Linked DNA regions of Caenorhabditis elegans. The protein of the gene in region 2 purifies or fractionates together with the protein of the main gene of each other region. This does not show direct contact. Each region holds a gene or a part of one and is shown on either strand. Other genes may lie near its edges.

Region 1 (8,922 bases), on a different chromosome or scaffold from region 2:
TAAAGTTGCGACATTTTACACTTGATTTCCTGCATCGTTATCTGGCTCTTGTGCATATAGTTGATCCTGTCTTCGCAAACGATCTCTCAGCATCGACATAAATGGTTGGCTTGACGATACGATGGACGGAACAACGAATCCATCATTTCGTGGTTTTCTTATTGCACAGTACGGAAGAATTTCTTGTGCACCGAAGTATGTTTCAGAGTTGTATGCGGGCGGGAGCTGAAAACAAAAAACCTAGATAACATAAGATATAGTATATTTACCGTTTGTTGATCAACAGAATAACTTTCTTTTGACGCTTGAATCATTTTTGACAGACATTGACGGATTGTTTCATTAAATGGATCGATCGCAAGAGCTTTATTGAAGAATTCAGTTGCTTTATCAATGTTGCCGAGAACTGCGTAACAGAGAGCAGTTGATGCAATGGCATCTACAAACTTTGGCTCCATTCGGATAGCTTTTTGATAAAACATGATTGCTTCATTCAGCCTTCCTTGCCGTCTGGCTATGTGGCCAATGTTATTGAGCATTGGGTGCCAAAAGTCGTCGATTTTCCTGAAAAAATGTTATTTTTCTCTCAAATAATCATCGAATTAGATACTTACTTTTTCAAGACTTCTTCAATTGGAATGATTTCATCGGTCTCTGTAACCATATACAAAACAGTTCTGAATAAAATATCGGCTTCCGCGTAACTTTTTGCAGTATAGGCTACACAAGCTTCTTCGTGACGAATCAGAGGGTCATTCGGTGCCCGAGCAACTGCTTCTCCCATGAACTTCTTGCTCAGCTTCTGACTATGCGTACTGTACTGAAGAGAAGTGTACAAGAACGGTTCAGAACTTTTATCCACAAGTTTCGACGCTCTGTAATAGCAACTCATGGACTGTTCGTGTTCAACTTCATAGTGAAGAATATGACCAAAAGCCACCCATCCTTCAGCAAACGTCGAATCCATCATCGTGCATTTACCTAAAGAAGCTCTATTTAAACCTCAATGAAATGGGAAACATACTGATGAAATTTCGAGCTCTTGAGTTTGCTCCAATACTATAATAATACATAGCAACACAATACCATGGAAGTGGAATATGAGGATCATCACTAACTAGTTGATGACCTAATTCAAGCAGAGATCGAGAATCCTTTAACATTGTTAGGCAGTGAATACGAAGAATAATGCACTCAGGATGTGGTCCAAATAGATCAAATAGCTCGTCAGTGATTTTTTTTGTTTCTCGAAATCGACCCATCTCGTAGGCACGTTGAGCACGTTCCATAAGAATTCGTGGATCATGATTTCCTTCGTGTAACTTCAGCTGTTCATTTCTGACTTTTCTGTACTTCTCCCACATCGCAGGCTCAACCAGATTGTATTTTGCCATTAATCGTTCGACATGGAGAGTTGTATTATCCTGAAATAATAAAACACGGTCAAATCATGTATAAAAGATGACTTACAAGACTCAGCGCGTAATTAATACAAATCATTGCAGCATCACGATTCATCAATTTCAAAAAACTTTCTGCTATGGTTATCATAAGAGCTGGAACCATTCTGAGCTTTTTAGAGCTATTATCCAATTCGGCCATATTTGCAAATGAGTACTTCATTCTTTCTTCCTCGACATATCTCCCCGTCACTTGTGAAAGTGTTCGAACAGGAAGAGGTCCAATTTGGCCATTACTTGGAAGAAGATGACCGACCGATAATTCAGCTACATCTTCGTATAATTTCCGTTGGAAAAGTGCGGTAGCGGCATAATAAGCAAAAACAATGTGAATCTGATGATAGTTCCCACGAGCAATAATATGGCTAATACGCCGCCATTGACGGAGAACGACGAGAATTTTTACGTATTCAGCGATGGTGACAATATCTTGCTGTTCATCATCAATTATATTAGAGTATAATGTATCCGCGTAAGCTACAGCTTCATCGGTTCTGCCGATTTCAAGCATTTCCCTAAAAATATAACATATTAATATATATGCTGGTCTCAAACTGACATCACTTTCTCCATGCTCGCCTCGTCATAATACTCCGATCCATCAATTCTACTTGCAAGTGTTTTAATCGGCTTGAAACGAATAGACTCGTGTTTCGGCAAATCTCTGAAAAATTGTAGTTTGAAAAAGAAATGTTATTTATTAAACTCACAAAGATGATGCTGGCTTGCTTGAGGAACCTTCATCAGCCAATGTCGGAATCGCAAAACTTTTTGTATCAGGCGAGATCGCGCTCATGCTGTAAAGGCTTCGTATATTTGTTTAGTAAGTAGAGAACTTAAGTTAAGCAACAAGAATTGTAAAATAGAAATTCAATAATGACGTTAATTGCAATGGAACTGTTGTGAAAAAGTGTTGAGATTATAGTCTTATTTTTAGATTATAATTTTACAGCTTACACGGAGTAGTTACAGCTACTTTAACTAAATAACATAAAGGCGCGCCTAGGCGCTTAAAAACAAAATAAAAAGGATTTAATGCTTGATCAAATTTAAATTTTAGCCGTAACTGCGGAGTCTCGTTGCTAATTGTCAATGGAGCGAACATACATCATCAAATTTTTGAATAAAATTGTTTCTCATTTTTTTCGTAAAATAAATGCCATTTTCAAAAAGTCTTTCACAAAATGCTCCCGTTTGATAATGATGACTCTAGCGATGATGCTACAACTTCTGTTAGGCCGAAGCATCCAAGGTAATTGAAATTCGGTGAGCAAACGGTAGTCAAATGAAACAATGTTTTTTTCCAGAGGAGTTCCTCAGAGTCAATCAACATTTCCACGTGGTAGATCGAATTTTTCGTCTGGAACTTTACCAAATCGAAAAACAGAATGCACTCCAGTGAACACCTTAACAATTGGGCATTCAAACAAGATGCTATTGACAACGTTTCGGATGGATCGAAATTCAAAATCTAAATCGGAAGTTGACGTACAAGAACAGCCTGTTCACTCTTCATCGTCGGCTTTTCCAGGAAATCATTTAAACAATTTTTCGTATCCAGTGAATCGTGGATATCTTCGTGATTACCTGCTACAGTCACAAAGGCCTTCTACTTCAAAACCAGTCGACTGTTCTGTTCTAAAACGGCACTCTCTCCCATCAACTCACATTCTTTATGAGAAAACGAAGCACAGAGGTGGTGTAAATATCGAAGAACAAGAAAAACTCGTGCGGATGTTATGGGCCGCTGCAGAAGAATCGGAAACAGTTGCGAAGACGAGACAGTTTAGTAAAAAACAGGCGATTGAGCTGAATTTCGATGCTAAGCTCATTGGCAGCATGAATAATGATTGCTTTGGATATTGCCGAGCACACATGGAAAATATAAAAGATGTTTTGAAAACACACTTGAAATTGGTAAGCGATTTTTTAATTGGCCGTATTTGAAACAATTTAATTTCAGTCTAAAGTTGACGAGGTAAACTGGATCAAGGTGGGGATGGTGCCACGAGCTGCGTACGAAGATAAATCATACGTCATCGATGCTCATTTAGTTTTGACGCCAAACGGTGAAGTAGAAGATGAAAATGAATTGTTCTCCGAGTTCGCATCAAGTTTCACATCTAGAATAACTGGAATGCTCCATGATCAAGTATTTTTGGAAGTCCCGAAAATGCATACGCTTTTCACAAAAATAACGTAATAGAATACTCATCCGCTTTTTATATACTCAAGTTATAATTTAGACCCCAACACATGGATATAAATATTTCTGCGATTGCGATTGGAAACTGCCCTAATTCAGGACTTTTCCTTGTTAGAGGAGATTTCATCAGTCAAGAAAACACAGTTTGTAGTGTGTAAGTTGCACATATTCTACAGAATTTCTAATCAGATTTTTGTTTTTAAGAAAGCTTCAGTCACACCATAATGCAGATGCATCCCGTGAAAACAGTTCATTCAAAGTGGCAGGAAGCAATAAATACCTCTCGTATGCGAGATTTGAGCATGACAAAAGACTGGCAGTGGTATATTTCGGAGTTCGATTAGCCGAATTCGCTGATGATGGTTTGGATCATGCCGGATTTCGTCTTAATCTATATTATAATTTGTTTGTTCGAATTGTTGTCGACATGTCTCATGAAACTACGAACAGTATTTATATACAAATGAAAAATCCACCGCATCTCTGGGAAGGAATTCCGAAAAATACGATTTTTCACCCATCAAAGTCGAAGGTTCTCAATATGGAAACGTGCACAGAATGGGTGATATGGTATGCAAATAACTTTTAAAAACTTGTAAATTTTCAGACAAGAGTATTGAGTTGGCCTGGCGATGCTGAGGGCCGAGGTGTCGGTTGTACTTCTGAAGCTTTCTCGCAAAGCTCCTGGATCCGGTTGACAATGAGAAAAGATGATGATAACGATTCGGTATCGTCTACACAATTGATGGATATTGTTACTAGACTTTCTGCTCGAAGCAAAGCAAAAGTGATGTTCGGCTCCATTTTTTCAATTCGCCGAAAACTTGCACCATCCCCGGCTTTCCATTCTCTGGGATCTTTCCGAGCGAATTATGCTCTCCAGGCTCTAATCACACGCGGAAGTGTATTTACGGACCAACTTTTCGACGCAACTGATGAAAATATTCCAAGTTCAGACAATGACAATGATGAAGATGATGACGATGATGTTGATGACACGAAAAAGCCAATGGAATTAGTACACGAGCCGCTCTTTCTGAAATTAGTTCGTAGGGGAATGAAAGAATGCTCTCAAGCCACAGAAGAGACTCTCGAACAACTTTTGAATGCATTTGATGAACGTCGTCAAATCGATGTAGTTACCGCGTTCACAACAATGTATCAATCAAGAAAGATTCAATACGAAAGACTTCTGAAAGGAGAAAGCCTTCAAGATGTAGGCCTTGCAAAGCCATTGCCGAAGAATTGTGTTTCAGTGGCTAAAGTTATTGTAACACCATCTCGAATACTGCTAATGGCTCCAGAAGTAATGATGGTAAATCGAGTTGTTAGAAGATTTGGACCTGATTATGCTCTTCGTTGTGTGTTCCGAGATGACAATCTGGGCCGGCTCGCTATTCGCGACTTTTCCATCAATAATATAGATCGTAAGAAATTCTTTAAATATTTTTAAATATATTATCTAAGTTTCCAGACATGTCGAATATTGTCACCGAAGGAATTTATTTGACTCTCAAAAATGGAATTCAAGTTGCTGATCGTGTCTACAGTTTTCTAGGATGGAGTAATTCTCAAATGCGTGATCAAGGATGTTATTTATACGCTCCTCGAGTCAATGCATTAACTGGTGAAGTCACAGGAACTGTAGAAGATATTAGAGTATGGATGGGAGATTTCCGAGATGCGATTAGTGTTCCAAAGATGATGAGTCGAATGGGACAATGCTTTACACAAGCACAACCAACGGTATATTCTAGTGTTAAAAATATTCATATAGTCGAAAATATTCAGGTACGTCTTGAACGACATCACTGGATCGTTGAACCTGACATTGAAGGTGGTGTAGAGAACAAATATTGTTTTTCTGATGGTTGTGGTCGAATTTCTATCAAACTGGCAACACATATATCTAAGATTCTCCAATTGAAGGAAGTACCAGCTTGTTTCCAAGTGCGATTTAAAGGTTTCAAAGGAATTCTAGTTATTGATCCAACAATCGATGATATTATAAATATGCCTAAAGTTATCTTCAGGTAGTGATGATCTATCAAACAAATTATATGATCAATTTTCAGAAAAAGTCAGCAAAAGTTTGGTGAAGGTGGTGGAGAGCTGCAAGATGAATACCTCGAAGTAGTAAAATACGCTATGCCATCTCCAGTTTGTCTCAACCGTCCATTCATTACAATCCTGGATCAAGTGTCGGAAAAACAATCTGCAAGCTCTCACAGAAGGATCACAAATCGTGTTCATTATTACTTGGAAAGAGAACTATGTTCTCTGAGTAGTATGTAGTTACTGTATGGTTACAAATCATAATCTCCTAATTTTAGATATGCTCATAAATGAAAATCAAGCAGCAGAAGAGCTAGTCAATCGCACAAACTTGGCAATCGACTGGAACGCAGCAAGCAAACGAGCCGGGTTCGAATTGAGTGTAGATCCATTGATACGAGATATGCTATTCTCTATTTATCGCTACAACATCATCCATCACATTTCTAAAGCTAAAATTTTCTTGCCTCCAAGTTTGGGAAGATCAATGTACGGTGTTGTCGATGAGACTGGACTTTTACAGTACGGACAGGTTTTCATCCAGTATTCACCAAGTATCCGACAAACCAGTAACCGTCCAATATTGAAAACAGGCAAAGTTTTGATTACCAAAAATCCGTGTCACGTTCCTGGAGATGTTCGAGTTTTCGACGCAGTTTGGCAACCAGCATTAGCTCATTTAGTCGATGTTGTAGTATTTCCACAACATGGCCCACGACCACATCCCGATGAAATGGCAGGTTCAGATTTGGATGGAGATGAGTATTCTATAATATGGGATCAAGAAATGCTACTCGATTATAATGAAGAAGCAATGGTTTTTCCGAGTAGTTCAGCTGCAGAAGAAGACAAAGAACCTACTACAGATGATATGGTTGAATTCTTCCTTCGATACCTTCAACAGGATTCAATTGGAAGAATGAGTCACGCTCATTTGGCTTATGCTGATCTTCACGGACTTTTCCAGTATGTTCCTTGAAATTATCCATGTTAAGCCAATATCTTATTTTTCAGCGAAAATTGTCACGCCATCGCGCTCAAATGTGCAGTAGCTGTAGATTTTCCGAAAAGTGGAGTTCCCGCGGAACCATTGTCAAGTTTCGAGCAATGCGAAATGACACCTGATTATATGATGTCAGGTGGAAAACCGATGTACTACAGTACCCGATTAAATGGACAATTGCACCGAAAAGCTCGAAAAGTTGAAGAAGTTTTGGAAGAATTTGAAACACGCGGGAGTGTATTCGAAAGAGAATATGATAAACTGATTTGTCCAGAAGACGTTGATGTTTTCTTCGGAAATGAAATAAAACTTGTACAAACATTGACTCTTCGCGATGAATACGTTGATCGAATGCAACAACTTTTGGATGAATATGGAATTGAAGACGAAGCTTCAGTTGTGTCTGGACATGCTGCAAGTATCAAGAGATTAGCTGGAATGGAGAGAGACGACTATTCATTTTATCACACTGATAAGGTCGTTGAGCTTCGTTATGAAAAATTGTATGCTGTATTTCGTGCAAAATTCTTTGAAGAGTTTGGTGGAGAAGAAATCAACATTGAGAATGATGGAAAGAACACTCGGTTGAAATGTACGAAGGCAATGCATGAAAAGATTCGGCAATGGTATTTCGTGGCATATGTGCAGCCAAAGATAAATAAGGCTGGAAGATGCATTGGACAGAGTCTTCCCTGGGTTGCTTGGGATGCATTGTGTGATTTGAGGCGACAATTAGTAAGTTAAAATTATGAAATAAATATATTAATTTTTTGTTGCAGATGCTCGATAAAAATGACGCAGTTTTACGAGGCAAATATCCAATTGCTGCTCGTTTAGAAGAGGAGATCGAAAACTCCATTGAAAGGCAGTTTGACAAGTTTCTCAAATTGAAAGATTTGATTGAATCTCACAAAGATGCGCTTTTCCTGAGACGATACGTATATTTTTATGGAGATCAGATTATAAAAATGTTGTTCATCCTGAAAGTTTGGCTTGAACGAGAAAATGTGCTCCCATCAAGTGTTTTGTCGATTTGGCAGCTGGGAAGACTTTTGATTCGTCTAGGGCTCGGAGATCTCCTGGGAAATCCCACTATTGATTATGAAAAAAGTCTTCTGATGCCAACAACAATGTTTCAGCAATGGATTTCGAAGAAAGAAGATGCAGATGAAGCTCCGATATTGAGAAATTTCGATATGGGAACAATGATGCTCGAATTTCTCAGATATTTGGCAAGGTAAATTTAAAAATCTAGTGTTGGAAAAATTTTTCAATATTTCAGTCAATCTTTCGCATCAGCTGAAAGCATAAGTCTTCGAGTTTTCTACGAAAAAGATATTGTTGAGCCAATACTTACTAAAAGTGCACAATGGATGCCTTTACATCTTGTAAGCTCGATCTTTAATATTCCAGATCTATCAACAAAAAACATATTCCAGATTGCATATCGTACATTTCATTCCATCGCTGTGTCTGGACGGTTTGATGCGCTTCATTTGGACGATGAGGATGCGGTGGATCAGATTACAGAAAGCAAGGATCCAATACTAGTTAACGAGTCATTGTTCTCTTCGAGAAACTACAACGATGATTATCCGATCAGTAGGAGTAGAATATTGCAATCTTTGAAGGTAAGTGGTTCGAAAATACTTTTCGTTTCTAGTGAAAAACTTTCAGGATTGGTCTGGTGTCAAAGAAATAATTCCTCGCGAAATCACTGGAACTCGGAAGTCTGATATGATCTATGTTACATCAGTTGGAACGGTTCTTGCACGACAACGCCTCGCTCGACTTTTACTTCTCAGTGGAGAGACAATTAGGGACGCGATTGCCAACAACGTCGTGCCGAATGAAGTACGCGACGAGTTCTTGTAATATAGATTTCCACTTATATCATGTTTTATGTTTTGCTTGTTTTATAGAATTTTTAATGATGAGACGAGTATATTTGTATGTGTAATAATGTTTTGATCTCGGTTCGATTTTCAGATAAATTTATTGGGTTTTTTTAAATTGGAAAGAAATATTATTTTAAATCACATATTCAAGCATCAACTGCAAATGGAGATTTACCACCTCTTGGCTTAGTCATTAGATAGAAAACTGTAAAAGTTCCGAAAACAGCAAGAAAAAGCATAATAGTACAAACAATAACAGAACAAAGTACAAATGTGATTGACCATTCCTTATTCACTGCA
Region 2 (8,018 bases):
GTTCAAACAGAAGGTATGGAAAAAATTCACCTACGAAAATTATATAACTTTTTTTTTGGTCATTTCGTCTTCCAAATTTTAAAAAACTAAGGTGACGTTTTTGAGAAAAATGCATAAACGCAGCCAGTGGTACGGTAGACAAATTGCGTACAGGTACCACTTCTCGGGCCGTGATCAAATTCAAACTGACACTATCACTGATATTACGTAGTTTTTCGAAGTCCTGCAAAAAAAACTAGTGGCGTCATGCTATCAAAGCACATGTTGCAACGACTTTAAGATGATAAATTAAAAAATTTGGTTGATATGTTCCTTTAATTTTTTATATCCTCTAAGAATTTTTGTACAAAAGTCGAGTTTCAGAATTTTAGTATGGTGCTTCTAACACTTCGAGAGATGACAACTTGGTTTGACATTACATTGTTCGAATTATGGGTTCATTTTGCAGCAATTATCGTATCTTCGGTCATGTTGGTATGTTGAAAAAAAGCTTACGAAAGTAAACCATTTTGAATATTATTTTTCAGTTATAAATAAGTTCATCTAAAACAGTTATAATTTCAGTGTCTAAAACTGCACGAAACAGTATCAATCTCATATATGTGGGTGGCATCTCCTTTGTTCGTTGGACTTGCATTTTCTTATTTTTTCGTATTCATCATTTATCTTCGATCATGTGTCGAATTTAAGGATTATAGAGGTCCTACTGTTAGGTAAGTTTTGAACCTGTTTTTAATTTAAAATTTTCATTTGTGTTTGATGAAATATATAAACAACTGTTGGCAAACCTGGAGTCGCGGTTTTGCAATTTTTGCACCAAAGAGAACTTGTCGTTAAATGTAGAAACGTGTACCTTTATTAAATATTTAGTACTGAAATTTCAAAATTCCTCTGCTGCTGAATTTTGATCGATTTTCATAAGAAATCAATGGAAATTTTTCAAAAATTGAAGTTTGAAATTACAGAACTCACTTAAAGGCGCACAATTTTTTCGCATTTATGGTTTCGAGATCAGGTACCGTATGCCTGGAGCAAAAATCAAAATTTTGGAGTTCGAGTTAAATGCCTGAAATAACCTTCTTTTTACAACTCTAACGCAGAAAAACTGTCTCTGTTTTGCATTTTTCTGAAACTTTTCTGGTACCTAAAGACGTTTAGATTAGTTTAAATAGTTCTCACAGCAATAAATTTTTTAAATATTGGCTTAATTCAAGATTCTTGTGGTCTTTCCAAAAATGGTTTTACAACTCTGAAACTCTTATTAAAATGAAGCGGCCGCCGGAAAGATCGTGGCGAGACCAGTCCGTAGGAATACATAACTGCGAAATTATAGCCCGTTGAACGCAAATTACGTGTTCCTACTTGCGACAGACCAAATGCGAATCATCTGTGAAAACAGAAAATTCAAAATTGAACATGCAATATATATTTTTTTTTCAGAGTAATTCTCAACATATTCCGTCTCACATGCATCACGCTCTTCATATACTTCATCGTTGAAAAAATCAGTGGAGAGTTGGAGAAATCAGAAGTTGCAAATCGGAATACGTATGGGATGGTTTTTTTGCCAATGTGGCTTCTCCTGGCTTCGTGGGGATTTCAAATGTGTCGGGCAACAAATAACTAGTTTAACTGCTCATTCTTCTCATTTCCTATCATTTTCTGTACATTATTGTTGTTTTTTCCTATTTTCAACGGGTTTCCAAAAGAAATACAAATAAATACCATCTGAAACGTCATCCGTGTATAACCTAAATAAAACATGTGACAAATTTCATATAAACGCGATTTAAAGGAGAAAAAAGATTGGAGCGAAAAAAAATTGAGATCAAAAATGAAAATGAAATACTCGAATACTACAAAACCTGCAAAAATAATTAAATTCGTATACAAGAAAATCTAGAAACTAGATCGATTTGAAGACGATGCCAACGAATTTTTGGGCGGCGCATTCAACACGCGGTCCACGTCATCGTCGATATGAAGTGGTGATGATGACGTCACATGTTCTGACGTGGCATGTGGTGATGATGTGGATGACGATGGAAACTCGTGGAGACTTGGAGCATTTGAGAGGTTTTCTGAATTTTCACAATTATGTTTTTTAAGTGCTATTCAATAATTTAAACTTTGGGAGCAATTGAATTGACATTTTAATCAAACAGAATTTCAAGCTTTTTCTAATGCAATTTCCATATTGCAATTCCCTCGACGTACCTCTTTCAGAATCACTTCCACCATCTCGTTCCCATACAGCATCTAAATCGACTTCAGTGTGTAACGTAGAACTAACTGGAGGCATTCTTTCCTGAACGAAAAAATTAATTATTAAAACTCCAAATCGATTTGGTTTTTTGCTCGAATTTTATTAAAATTTGAAAACAAAATAAAAGTTCGGTTTTGTATTATACGAAAATCGAAAAGCTTAGTTATTCAGAATTTTTTTCTCTCGCGGATTTTTAAAATCCACACCACGATGAATCTGAAATTTATACCTACATTAATTTTTTTTTGAAAGAAATTTTCGATTATCCCGGAAAACATTGCAAATTTCTGATTTCAAAAGCAGAGTTTTCCGCTTTTTCGGAGAATTTTTGAATTTCGATTCATCGAATCGTGGCGTTGATTTTTAAAAACAAAATTGATATTTTTGAAGTGTTTTTTCTCAACATTCTCACCACAACTTCCAACATTTCAAATTCAGTTCCATAATCTTCCTCTTCACTTTCAACATCCACGTCATCATCCTCTATTATCGGTCTTGCAGTTTGATATGATTTTATTTCACTGAAAACGCCAGAAACTAGATTTTTTTGTTCAAAATTCCATCCAAAGTCCATTACCCAATTTTAAAAATTCCCCGCTCAGCAGCAATTTTCGCGAAATCTTCCGTCTGTTTATTCTCCAAATACTCTCGAATTGCCATTTTTTCCTGGAATGCCGCCTCGTCGTTCTGAAAATTTTGAGTTTTTGTGTGTATAAAACATGGAAACAGAAAATTATTTATTCGGGGCGAATCAAATACAACTATACCAGTTTCAATGAAAAATGTGGGCTTGGAAGAAACATAATTTTTAAACTAAAAATGTAAAATTTGACATGGAATTTTACTTTTGAAATAAAATTTGGAAATTCGTTGGCTAAGACACAAAATTGATAGGGAAAATGTTTACATCAATAAGTATACTTTTGCCAAAATTCGCCTAGCAAATCAAACACTTTGAATCTGTAAAACTAGCTGAAGTTTTTTCATCGAAAATTTCATAAATATCACAAGAATGTAGATGTTTCACCTTATCATCAGTCAAATCATCACATGAATCACAATCCAAATACTCTTCATTTATGAACTCTCGTCGTGTCACAGAGGACAGTTTCAGTGGTAAACGACGCATCCAAAGTTGAAAATCACGACGAGAGATATCGACTGATGTAAGATCCACGTTTGCAGCGTCTTCTAACTGAAAAATTTAATAACTTTTTAATTGAAATTTGTGATGAACTATTTCCTAATTTTCCTAACAAGAAGGAAAGGTTTCCATTTTATCGTCAGACTTCATTTCGATCTGGAATTGTTTCAGTGCCTGTTTTCACTACTTTGGAGGCCTGTAGAATTGCTCCAAATGCGTTTTTTTCAAACTTTAATGTTTTTTCAGAACGTTTAGAAGTAGGTGAACACTCTGGGAGATTTTTCAAAAATTTGTAATTTTTTGAAAAAAATCTGAAAGTTTCTTCACTCCACTTGATCCAAAAATGTTCAGATTTTCACAACAAAAAAAAGTCCAAAAATCTCCCAGAGTGTTCACCTACTTATAACCGTTCTGAAAAACATTGAACTTTGCAAAAAAACATTTAGAGCAATTCAACAGGTCTCCAAATTAGTGAAAAATGCACTGAAACAATTTCATATCGAAATTTTAAGGGTTGAGGGAAGAGCTTTTTTCAAAACATGGAATCACTTGTTGACACCCGAGACCGAATGGGAGAGTCAACCCATCGGGTGAAAACGACGTAGTCTGTTTCGAACCTCTCGCTCTTCATCCTTTCGCGCAGCACTCCGTTGATTCTCCTTATACGAGCATTTCTGATTAATTCTCAACTCAATTTTCAACTTCATCATTTGAATCGCAATCGCTGCAATATTCGTTGCATCATCCAATCCACTATGTTTATTTCCAACAAACGACAGATCCAGACGTTCTAACATGTTTTCAATTCCGGATTTCTGAAGAGAATTGAGGTTTTAATTAAAATTTGAACCTTAAAAACTTACTCCATTTCCCTTGATAAGTCCATTGAATTTCTCTTTGAATGTCTTTTTGATGTTGATAAAACTTCGGAACATATGGGGCATTCGAATATTCGATAAAAGGCATTGAAATTGCATGAATTTCCACATATCGTGAGGTCTGAATAGTTCGTTATGCACAACTTTGAAGTTTTAGTGAACAAAAAATCGTCTTCGATTCCTTACCCATCAGTAACAAATGCGAATCTGGAATTTTTCTGTCCGAGATTGAATTTTCGCATCCATGTGTACAGCCGTTGAAGAGCCTCTCGGAAATATGGAGCAGCATCGACTGTTTCTTGGGCAATTTCTACAACAGGGTTTACATTTTAAAAATGACATTAGTGTCTTACTGGTAAACTGCATACAAAATTCGCTGAGCTTCGGATTTCTGACAGGTCGGACATAGGTTCGAAACTCGCTGATCTGGAAATTAAATATGCTTATTTTGACGATGGATATTATAAAGTTATATATTTTTCGTTTTTTATTTATATTCCTAAAATAAATAAACAAAACAAAACAAAAAAAGCTTTCAGTTTAGTCAGTTTTTATAACTTGATAATACACCAAAGAACTTCCATCTGCCTTAAATTGAAAAATGGGAGAAGGATTTTTCTATTTTTTTCCAATATTTTCTTCACAAGCGAAACAAATTTTATAGCTAAATAAGAAACCCAAAAAAGACGAAAAATGTTGTATTTGAAACGTTTTTTGTTGAATACATTTTTATATTCCAGATTTCGATAGGATGACGAAACGTTTGTCACCTTTTCCCGGAAAAAATGATTTTCTTGCGGGAAAACACGAAAAAAAAAAATAAAATTCGAGCCGAAACCCCAGAGGAAAAATCCAAAATCAAGAATTTCAACTGAGAACTGTTCAATCCTTGTCCGCGGGGAGTACACGACATGCGTAATTCGACATATTCCATTTTCAAAGATGAAAAAATCCTACAATTTTCATTTCCCGAACGTCGATCAAAACTGCCGGTAATTCGATGATTTCGTGTGGGTAATCGTATATAATCTCGACGCACGTACACTCGAAATCAATTGCCTGAAATAATTAATAACTAAAGTATTTCTTTTCCAGAAATTCTGAAAATCATACAATTAAATAGTCAAAAAAGCGTGCAGTTTTATCGGCATTCGGCTCCATTTTTCGATTCAATAATGCATTTTCCTTTCGATAATATTGTGCAACCCGTTTTCGAAGAGTTTTCTTGTTTCCGCTGAAATTAGAGTTATAATTTAAGTTAATTTCGAAATTTTAGTAAGAAAATTACATTATTTCTTTTACGGATGACTATATTTAACGCAAAATGATTCAAAAAATGCTGTTTCTTTTTAACAAAACTATCAAAAATGAAGCAAAGCTATATCTTAAATGTACGAAATTGGGTTCTGTTAGGAAAATAAGAAGTTTGAATGAATTTAGCATAATTTTACCCTGTGGACACTTTAATCTTCATCAACGCTTGTTTTAGCTGTTCAGCAGTCATTGTATCCATTTGCCTTATCACTTTTTTCACGTATTCTGGTTCCACCATTGATTTTAAAGGCTCAACACGTTCGGAGGGTAAAAGTTGCTGTTCACGTGGAATATCGATTGATTTTTCAGATTCGTCGGTTCTGGTTTCAGCCGATTCCACTTCAACTGCTGTTTTTTCTGGTTCGTCATTCTGTTTTGCGTTACTTGCATCGAATTCTTGGCTGATTTTCAGCAAATCTCGTAGACTTTCCAGATATTTTTCGTCTTCTGGAGACGGCTCATCTGCGCTCATTTTTTAACTGAAATTTTAGAAAAACAATGTAAATTCGAATGCGCCTAGATTCTATGTATCGGAGAATATAATTTTTCTTTGGAATTATCACCAATTTCAATGTTACAAATCTAAATAATTAAACAAAAAATTGGTAAGTACAATTAATTTATGGGAGAATTGTGTTAAAGCCCATAGGATTAGTGATGACCCGCAATGTGAATTACAATTTCTGAGTAAGAAAACAGATGGAAGGGGATACATTCATAGGGAATTGCTATTTTTCACCCGGCAAAATATACATATATACGTGGAAAATCGGGAAGTTGAGAGCTATAATATGAATATACAAAATAATCGAACAATAGTTTGTTAAAAAACAAAACACTATACAGAAAGTGAATGATACTTTGAAGAGAAAACTTAAAACATTGAAATTATCTGAAAATTGGAGGGTCAGTAAGAAGAAAATCTTCTAAAAGTTTTGTTTTAGGTTTACAAATAAATAGCTTGATCAAAATTCGAATCCGAGAAGCTGTTTTCGGAAAAATGAGCAATTCTTGGGATTTTATCCTCTGGATGTAGCTCCGGGCACGTTTCACGACGCTCGATTTGCTGAAAAATTAACATTTTAATCACATAATAAAAAATAAAAAAGATTACTCACCACACGATGATTAGCTTCCAAATGTAGAAGCACATGATTGCGGGTCTTCTGAGTGTCTTTGCCAGTTTCTTTCACCATTTGTTCTCGAGTTTTCAGGGCTTTTGGATTTTTAGAAGAACCATTCGATTCTTCTACAACGTGCCCGAATCGCTCAAACGCTTCACCAAGAGTGTGTTCAAGATCGACTTCCTCTGCATTCGCTTGAACTCGTTGAAAATCCTCCGACTGCTCCAGTAACGCAATCTGTGCTTTAAAAACTTCGGCCTGTCCGGTTACATAATCAGCAAAGGAATTGTCCGATGGTACTTTGAATTGCTTCATAAACTCTTGTAATACACCTTGTCCATTAAGCAACTGGTCAACGAAGGCTTTTGCCTCTTGTTCAGCTATTTTCACTTCCTGAAAGTTAAATATTGAAAATACATTCAACATTTCCCGATAGTTTTTGATCTTACTAGGAGTTCTTATTTTTGGTGATCAGAGAGTTATGGGTCGAATGTTATATTTTCTGGAAGCTAATAAAACGAGCATATCGAATTCAAAATAAGAAATTTGCCCAAAGTGATGTTAAGGCAATATTTTCGACGTTGAAAGCGTATTTAAGCCAAAAAAGTCGTTGTTTTTGAAGCATGGACTTCAACGATACAAGAAAATAGTCACCTAACAGAATGTTAAGAACAATACGAAAATCATTATTTTAATAACGATAGCTAAATACTCAAAATATTTCTCTAAAAATCTGAATGAAAATTAATATAACTTACCACTGGCAACGAATGAATACGCAGGTTTTCAGCGAGGAAACATTATAATATTGATAATATAGAAATATAATTAGAAACTATAGCAATAGGAATAATTATTAGAAAAATTACACCTAGGAAGGTGAGTAGATTGAGGGGTCCCGCATATAATATAAAAAGTTCACTTTCAATTCCAAAATTTAAAATTTCAAACCAAATTCACCGAATCAGTGTGATAATCCTGACGCAGCATGTTACCGGCCGTATTTGGATGGTATGATTCATGGAATAGATGTTCGAGTGGTTCAAAACCAGCTATTGACTCTACGGTTTTGTGTTCACACGATTCTTCTTCCGGATTTTCGAAATCAACGCCGACGACTGGAAATCTTCGCACATTATCCGGTAGCCTCGCAGGAGGAAGTTCGTCTTCAGTTGCCGGCTTCACCTTGTCGGATTGTGAAGCTTCCGTTTTCTTGATAGTTCCGGGAGCACTTGATCCTGAAGTACTGGGTCCAGTATTTTCAATTCCTTTAGCTGCTTTCTCTGCGTCTA

The links.
Region 1: the proteins of eri-1 (region 2) and rrf-3 purify together in Caenorhabditis elegans (affinity purification with mass spectrometry; 3 studies listed by BioGRID). This does not show direct contact.

The regions. Positions count from the first base shown.
Region 1 is NC_003280.10:8,159,914-8,168,835, forward strand, and holds rrf-3 (RNA-directed RNA polymerase), read left to right. Parts: upstream 1-2,551; 5' UTR 2,552-2,644; coding exon 2,645-2,712; intron 2,713-2,767; coding exon 2,768-3,377; intron 3,378-3,423; coding exon 3,424-3,659; intron 3,660-3,706; coding exon 3,707-3,820; intron 3,821-3,870; coding exon 3,871-4,228; intron 4,229-4,273; coding exon 4,274-5,093; intron 5,094-5,140; coding exon 5,141-5,412; intron 5,413-5,457; coding exon 5,458-5,699; intron 5,700-5,741; coding exon 5,742-5,953; intron 5,954-5,999; coding exon 6,000-6,687; intron 6,688-6,735; coding exon 6,736-7,459; intron 7,460-7,503; coding exon 7,504-7,961; intron 7,962-8,006; coding exon 8,007-8,112; intron 8,113-8,163; coding exon 8,164-8,355; intron 8,356-8,401; coding exon 8,402-8,599; 3' UTR 8,600-8,738; downstream 8,739-8,922. Other genes in the region: emb-27 (Cell division cycle protein 16 homolog), read right to left, coding at 16-225, 270-564, 615-981, 1,025-1,424, 1,471-1,975, 2,020-2,124, 2,171-2,256; T05C12.11 (uncharacterized protein), read right to left, coding at 8,769-8,922.
Region 2 is NC_003282.8:413,878-421,895, forward strand, and holds eri-1 (3'-5' exonuclease eri-1), read right to left. Parts: upstream 6,082-8,018; 5' UTR 6,075-6,081; coding exon 5,740-6,074; intron 5,523-5,739; coding exon 5,402-5,522; intron 5,348-5,401; coding exon 5,246-5,347; intron 4,715-5,245; coding exon 4,642-4,714; intron 4,599-4,641; coding exon 4,475-4,598; intron 4,410-4,474; coding exon 4,274-4,409; intron 4,226-4,273; coding exon 4,028-4,225; intron 3,462-4,027; coding exon 3,294-3,461; coding exon of another isoform or gene 3,204-3,293; exon of another isoform or gene 2,991-3,203; intron 2,954-2,990; coding exon 2,844-2,953; intron 2,788-2,843; coding exon 2,679-2,787; intron 2,309-2,678; coding exon 2,218-2,308; intron 2,082-2,217; coding exon 1,900-2,081; 3' UTR 1,758-1,899; downstream 1-1,757. Other genes in the region: T07A9.12 (uncharacterized protein), read left to right, coding at 373-474, 565-713, 1,441-1,627; Phosphatidylinositol 3,4,5-trisphosphate 3-phosphatase and dual-specificity protein phosphatase daf-18, read right to left, coding at 6,549-6,668, 6,721-7,119, 7,687-8,018.